Linked DNA regions of Arabidopsis thaliana. The protein of the gene in region 1 interacts with the protein of each later gene in a biochemical or structural test. Each region holds a gene or a part of one and is shown on either strand. Other genes may lie near its edges. The genes, in order: OEP80 and PFA-DSP1.

The links.
Region 2: the proteins of OEP80 (region 1) and PFA-DSP1 form a complex in vitro, tested with the Arabidopsis thaliana proteins (one study listed by BioGRID).

The regions. Positions count from the first base shown.
Region 1 is NC_003076.8:6,621,348-6,625,274, reverse strand, and holds the start of OEP80 (outer envelope protein of 80 kDa), read right to left. Parts: upstream 2,079-3,927; 5' UTR 1,953-2,078; coding exon 1,245-1,952; intron 1,152-1,244; coding exon 1,058-1,151; intron 684-1,057; coding exon 601-683; intron 493-600; coding exon 395-492; intron 254-394; coding exon 184-253; intron 1-183. Other genes in the region: GNL2 (GNOM-like 2), read left to right, coding at 3,230-3,715, 3,803-3,927. UniProt on the Arabidopsis thaliana protein: Plays an essential role during early stages of plastid development.
Region 2 is NC_003070.9:1,423,541-1,427,467, forward strand, and holds the start of PFA-DSP1 (Phosphotyrosine protein phosphatases superfamily protein), read left to right. Parts: upstream 1-1,998; 5' UTR 1,999-2,119; coding exon 2,120-2,385; intron 2,386-2,475; coding exon 2,476-2,569; intron 2,570-2,694; coding exon 2,695-2,790; coding exon of another isoform or gene 2,791-2,859; exon of another isoform or gene 2,860-3,927. UniProt on the Arabidopsis thaliana protein: Cleaves the beta-phosphate at the 5-position of soluble inositol pyrophosphates.

The DNA.
Region 1 (3,927 bases):
GAAACATACATGATACCATAAAGAGTGATTAACCTTAATTAAAAATAAGATCTCCAAAGGATTTCATACACAGATGATGCACTCAGAAGTGTTATTTAGCATAAAAATACAGCTCAGATAGTTTATGATGTTTTAGTCAGCGACTTATCTTTACATCTAAGCTGAGAAATGCCCAAAAAATACCTGTCCCTTCTTTGTTGTAAGTTGCCGTAGTATTGTCTCAGGGCTAGTCTTCCCTTTAGTTGGTTCCCCACTAAATATAGAAGGCACCATTATCAATGAAATCGTAATCTAATAGTTGAAATAAAAGGAAGCTACCAGTGCCATCCAGAATTGCCTACAATTTAAACCAATATAAACTACATTCATAAGGGAGGGATTGGCACCAGCTTACGTCTTACGATCAAGGAATCGGATGGATATGTTGTTAACCTCTGCTTCAGCAACCTGAAGCCTTACTATACCTCCAGAAAGCGTATCAATATCTGAAACCTACAATGGCAGACAACAGAATGATGATTCTAACCACAAAGTATAAGACTGAATCCAGGATGATTTTTTTTTTTGAAAAAGTAATTATGGTGTAAAAAGAGCACTTACAATTCCGAAAAGACCACGCTCCATGTACCATCCATTGATGGATGTAATAGCTTCTTCCAGTCTCTTAATATTAATCACTTTCCCTACACAGCTTGACACCAACATTTACTAACCATTACCCTCTCCAATCAAACACACACCGAACAGAAGGAATCCACCTAACTAGCCTCAATACATTAATATGTGTAAACTAAATGCAACTTCAAATTATGCTCTGTTTTGGAGCATGGATACATTTTGAGAATACTACCTACCTCTAATCTATCTTCTTCATTCAAGGCTAACACATTTTACACCATGTGTTAGAAAATTCTTAGCTTCATCATTAGTACTCGAAATATTTGTCAGGTTCCAATATCATTAATCCATTTTACTCCCAACGTAAATCAATGAATTGACAGATAAGTCTAGTACAGTACAGAAGAAAAAAAAACAAGCTAAATTGGAGGATACGTACCAAACCCATCTCGGAAAGCTTCATGTATGAACTTGGAAGGAAGAACATTTGCATTTTCACAGACTAACCCACGAAATTCTTGGTTTGGTTCTACCTTATGGCAAGAAAATGAGAATTATTTGCATCCCAGAAACATAAAAACGAGACCTTTCTCCTCCAACAAAAAGAGTAACAATCAAAATATTACCTGAAACATCAACCGAATCCCGTCTCGTGTATCAACAGCAACAGGAGTACAAGAGCAAAAGTACCCACTTTCTATAATCCTATGTACATCCTCCTGTACCTCACGAATAGTCAACGCTGAATTAGCTCTACAAGCTTTCAAAGCAGCCAATGCCTCCATTTCCAAATCCTTCCTCTCAAGTTCCTCACCATCTTTCGTTCTTACTAAAACCTCACTAATCAGAACTCGTTCCTCCGCATTTCGACTCACCGAGTGACCCTTCTGCTGCTGTACTGTATCCTTCCCTTCCACTGACTGAGTCGACTCGTTAGGTCTAGTTAGAGACAAAGAGGCACAACAGAGCAGAGGCGAGCTTAGTCCACGGATTGTCTCAACGTTCTCATCTCTTGATTCAGACCAATTGAATTGGGTGGATTGGATAAGAGACAATGAAATTGGAGAAGACTTCCCAATCATAAGCTGGGTTACTGAATTGAGCATCTGAGTCGGTAAATTGGGACGACGAACCGAACGTGGAGGAGGAGTGTGGCGATTCTTTAGCGACTGGAGCATTTGGTTTAGTGAGTTACGAGTATTTGAGAGGTGAGAGACGAAGGTTTTAGAGCAGGATTGGAGATTGGTGAGTAAAGAGTGTTGTTCTTTGGGAGATGGAGAATGGATTCTGATAGAAGATGAAGAGAAGCGAACATCATCGTTGTGACAATGCATTGTTAATCGTACTCGGGAGTGAAATTGAGGAAATGTCAAGGAAGAAGAAGAGCTTAAGAGATAAAATCTAAGAACAAAAAATAAGAGCTAGGGTTTTTTTTGATTCGGAGACTCGGAGTAGAAGATGATAGAGTGAAAAGGAGGTGATGTTAAAGCCCATTTACGAACAAACAAAAAACAAATTATTTTTTTGAATGTTTTATGTAAACATTCCTTTGAGTATATTATTAGGTTTTGTAAAATTACTGGATTTTCAAAAATGAAAATAAAATTGCGTCAAATAAATATTTTGGAAAATAATCAATTTCTCATTAAGGGGATTTCTCATTTATTTGACGGTAAATTAGTTTTTTGTAGGGTAAATTAGTTAACTAACGTTCAAAACATGTTAATCAAAATAAATAAATAGATTTTTGAGAAAAAAACGTTAGTTGATTTCTCCTATCCATTTTCTTGATTTTATTGATTAATAGATCACACACATGAACAAACAAGGATTATTGAATAGTTTTTCTGTGAATTTTTTTAGTAGTTATGGTCACAAACATGTAACAAAACCAATTATATTAATTTTGTCAATTTTAGACTTGTTAATTATAGAGAGTTTTGGCTCTTCTTAAGCAAGCCATAAACCCTTAAAACATTCATCTTATTAGGACCAGTACATAAATAAGTTATGGTCTGAATTTTAGTAAAATTTAAGCTGAGAGATATATTCTCTTGGAAACACTAGGACCAGTACATAAATAGAGTTATGGTCTGAATTTGGTAAAATTTAAGCTCCATTAACCTCTTAAGCGTCAGTTTTTCTCTACTGGTTAATTGAATAGTAGAGGAAAAAAACTTCAGCTATGCAAAGTCTGACTCAGATCAGTATGAAGAGGCCTAATCCTACAAAAATGGTTTCCACTCCAATCATCGTAGAGTTTGCTTCTACTTTAAAAGAAGAAGAAAAAAAAACCTTGAACACATACGTTTGATCCAAATAATGTATCCTTAAATCTGAATTTTTGCAGAACGTACATTAGTTTTCTATCTTAAGCCTTAAAGAAATTGACGGTAGCTGATGATGGAGTTTTCCTAGATGTGTGATGACAAATGGTTGAAACTCACCCATCACTGAGTCTCAGCCACTAAAACTTATATACTAAATATAGGATCAAACCAAGGCAAGGCAACACCGTACACATAAAGAATAAAAACGAAGAACAACAAAAAAAACAGTTGCTGAATGATTTTTCTTCTTTATCGGCAAGAAGAGTGTGATAAGGTGAGAAATGGATCGTATCGCCGTAAGAGCAAAGCGGAAAGAGCTAGGGATATCATGCATGCTTAACACGGAGGTTGGTGCAGTCCTTGCCGTCATTCGTAGACCCCTTTCAGAAAGTTACCTTTCTCCCCAAGAAACAGACCACTGTGATTCATCAGTCCAACAATCTCTCAAATCTCTTAGAGCTCTTATTTTCAATCCTCAACAAGATTGGCGCACCATAGATCCTTCGGTTTATCTTTCTCCTTTCCTCGAAGTTATTCAAAGCGATGAGATTCCGGCTAGCGCCACAGCTGTCGCTCTTTCCTCCATCTTAAAGATCCTTAAAATCGAGATCTTCGATGAGAAAACACCTGGTGCAAAAGATGCTATGAATTCTATTGTCTCCGGGATTACTAGTTGTCGTTTGGAGAAAACAGATTTGGTGTCTGAAGATGCTGTAATGATGAGGATTCTTCAAGTTTTAACCGGAATCATGAAACATCCATCCTCTGTACGTTCATTAACTATAATCTTTTTACTACAAATGTTTATTTTGTCCTCTTTTAAGACAGTAATAATAAGTTATGTATTAAAACAGGAGTTATTAGAAGATCAAGCGGTTTGCACAATAGTCAATACATGTTTCCAAGTAGTGCAACAATCTACCGGTAGAGGAGATTTGCTGCAACGAAATGGAAGATACACAATGCATGAGCTGATTCA
Region 2 (3,927 bases), on another chromosome or scaffold:
GTGCGTATACTCACTCTCATGAACGGTCTTCTCGTATTGTTAATTCACTGTAATCCTTTTGCGTTTTGATACGCAACTTCGGAATGGGCAACGGTATAGCGAGGCTTACGTATGCTTTGGAAAAACATTAATTCATATATTAATGTTTTATATTCCGTGAGAAAATTTCAATGTTTTGGAAAATTAGAACAAATTAGAACAAATTCTCGAAAGATAAATTGAAGGCATTATGATATTTTCGTACGTTCTTTTTACGGAAAGTTCTTTAACGGCATCCAAAACGCTTTCGTACGTGGCCGAGTGCTCGCGGCGCAATAATCCTTGAGAATCATAAGGTATATTCCCTGGAATGTACCTTTTTTGTTTTTCTTATAAAAAAACTATCTGGTGCATTTTGTTTTTATGGAGTAATTTATCCAATTAAAGTCCAGTGTGGGACACTAAACATTACAAATTTTATGTCTTTAGCTTAGTTATCATCTGTTTTTTTTTAATTAGAAAAGAGTAGTTTTCTGGTGTGAGTGTTATGTGGAAGACAAATATGTGACGTGGATTCTAATAATGTATTGTCGTGATGTGGTTCTTTTTGCATTATTTCGTTTTGATTATGTAATAGACATATATTTAAATGGTGCGATTATGCACCGAAGAAAAACATTCGTCTCCATTTTTCTTTATACGAAATTTGACCCCAAAAAAAAGGTAAAACACGGCGTCCGTGTTATTATGTAGTATCATGTATGACAGAAATGGCAACTACAGTAGATAGTTTGGACCGAATTTTATTTTCACACAATTAAATAGTTATTTCAAGGCAGTAACAAATTGGTGGAAAAAAAAAAAAAAAAGGCAGTAACAAATATTAAAACCGAATATTGGCTAAAATTATACATTTCAAAACAATATTATGAAATTGTTTAACAAAACAAAATGTGAAAGGAACATAGAAGTAATTAATGTACTCAGATTACGATCCCATAGAACTTAAATAAAGGTGCGTTTATGAATGCCAGATGACTCAGATTAGTGATTGTTCTTCCCACTTAGCAGAGTAATTGCTCTTTGTCCTTTGGAATCTCTCTCTCTCTTTTTATTTCTCTGTGTTTCGCTTGGAATCTATATTTTCGCTATTTCCTGGAATGATGATATATATGTATGTTAGTATGTAGTAGTCAATATTTTTGTATATTGTGAATAAGTGACTTTTTCAAGGTAAATATAGGTCAGAAACTTCAAATTCAAAATATTAAATATTATAATATTGGTGAAAATATATAGTCAAAAAATGATTTTAGGTTCGGTTGATAATTTATTCAATGAGAGTGATTTACCCGAATAAGATGATTGTGTGTGAGCAAAAAGATTCCACAATGATGCCAATTTAAGCTTCAACAAGTGCTTTCCTATTAACAAGAACAATTTATGTAATATCATTTTTTTCGTTTGTTTTGCAAAACTGCAAAGTCATTTTATTTTGTTTACTTTAATAATCCTTGAAAATGTTATAACAGTTATTTCCTCAAATTAGACCATCATACTATTATTATTGTTATTATCAACCGTTGATAAAAATGGTAGTAGCATGTACAACTAAGATAGACCGTTACAAAATTCGTGTATTGTTAATTATTATATAGTTTCCGTATGTTGCTGTTTTCAGCTCAACTTGAGTAAATATAAAATATTAAACTGTTTATTCTAATATTGGATTCTTTTGTGTAGTGGCAACTTATTTTTTTCTAAGCTTTTTTTTTTTACAGATTACGGATTTCAGTATGAAATTGTAGATCCAATCAACTATTTTCACATATGCTAAAAGGTATCTAAAAAGTAAAAACACTTAACAGATTATAAACAAAAAAGCTTTTAAGATAAATGTCACAAATTCTTTAAAAATAAACAAATAAACAGCTATTGACAAACAAAAAATAAAAATAAAAAAGGAGTCCTTGCTGGGTCCATCTCCTTTGCGTTCTTTTTCGTCTGTTGAATTTTGAACAGAGTCACAAGTCTCTCTCCATATAAACCTCCCCAAGGTCGACGCTACGTAACGACCATCTCCATTACTCGACTCTCCTCACCTAAAGATTCAACCTTTTCTCTGTTTCCCAATTCAGAGATGAAGCTTGTGGAGAAGACGACTACTACAGAGCAGGACAATGGAGAAGATTTCTGCCGCACCATCATCGAGGTTTCCGAGGTTAACAGAAACGTGTTTCAGGCTCCGGGCGGTGAAGCTGATCCCTTTCGAGTTGTCTCCGGCGAAGAACTTCACCTAATTCCGCCGCTCAACTTCTCCATGGTCGATAACGGTATATTCCGGTCTGGATTCCCTGATTCAGCTAACTTCTCCTTTCTCCAGACTCTCGGTCTCCGCTCAATCATGTAAAAGCTCCTTCCACATTCATGACATTTTGTATACTATATATCAAACTTTCGAAATTGCTGATTTTAGGTTTTTTCGAATTTGTGAAGATACTTGTGCCCGGAGCCCTACCCAGAGAGCAATCTCCAGTTCCTTAAATCCAATGGAATCAGGCTTTTCCAGTTTGGTATTGAAGGCAACAAGGTAACCATCTTTCTTCTCCTCTCTCTTCATCAAGTCTCCGTTTTTAATTGCTCTGTAATTCTAAACCTTACTTGGATAGTTCACTAGGAGAATTCTCTGAATGGAAAAATCATATCTTGCTGCAGTGTGTTCCTGACTTAGACAACGAGATTTCCTTGCATTTATGGAATTCTAAGCATCAGAAACAGGGTCCCTTAACTAATGGACTTTCGAAAACTTTGGTACACACTACATATATTAACTGGAACACGATACTATTTCTGGAATATATCATAGTTCATTCAATTTGAAGGGTTTTATTTGCTTGATATTTATTGCCTAATTGTTCTTGAAAATCCTGTCTCATTGTTGTTTACTTTAGACTACTAAAACTGTTTCTGTGTTTTCTTTCTCTTGAATTTGATCCTTCATGGGCACTCTGTTCCAAGCCATATTTTATTATTATGAGTTTACCAGAAAAAGAACACATCTTTCTTTATTGTTTTGCCTCTTTGGCTCTTTCCGTCTCTCTTGACCTCCACTGATTTGGTCCCACTCTTTGTTTTTCTGCCCCTTCAGCAACTATTCCCCACTTGTTCTTTCTACTCTCTATTTATAAAATTAGATTATGGACTACGTCAAAATATTTGCTGAGCTACTTGTTGCTAGTGTTGTCAATGATCCCACTACTCAATAGCTTACTTTCTGTTGTTATTGTTTTCTTGGTTCATGTTTATTGAGTGTGCACTTTTTTATACAGATATGATATCTTATGAAATCATACATCAGCGAAAGTGTTTTTGATTGTGTACAAGTAAACCGTTTTTTATGGTAAAAACTTGTAGAAAGCGTGTTGATCGTGAAAGTGTCCATATTAGCTGTAAGGTTTGAAATCTAGATAAGGTTAGGAATTGCTGGGAAAATGATAGATGGTTACGTTGTAAGTCGGTTAATGTTGTTTAATACGTACCTTTAGTTCCTTTCCTTTTCTATGTGTTAGTGGCTCATGTTTGGGCAAATCGTTGGTAAAGTGATAGAATAACCAAAAACTTCACCATAGAGTCTTGAACTTATTACCCTCATGAGTTACCATTCGCCTTTCCTGAAGAGATGGGTATGAATCTAATTTGAGTTGATATGTTTGAAAGAAAATATGTTTGTTCTGGTATGCAGTAGCTATCATTCTCTCCCCCCACAGAATCCACCTTTTCCCTGTCGATTCTACTCCTAGGATAGTCGATTCTTTATGTGGGGAGTCGTTTAGATACTTACTACCATAGTTCCCTAGTTTTGCTTTTACACTAAAGATGAAAATAAAGTGGCTTTCTCTTCTTGGTGTAGTGATTTTATTGGAAGAATCTGGATCTCATTGACTTTTG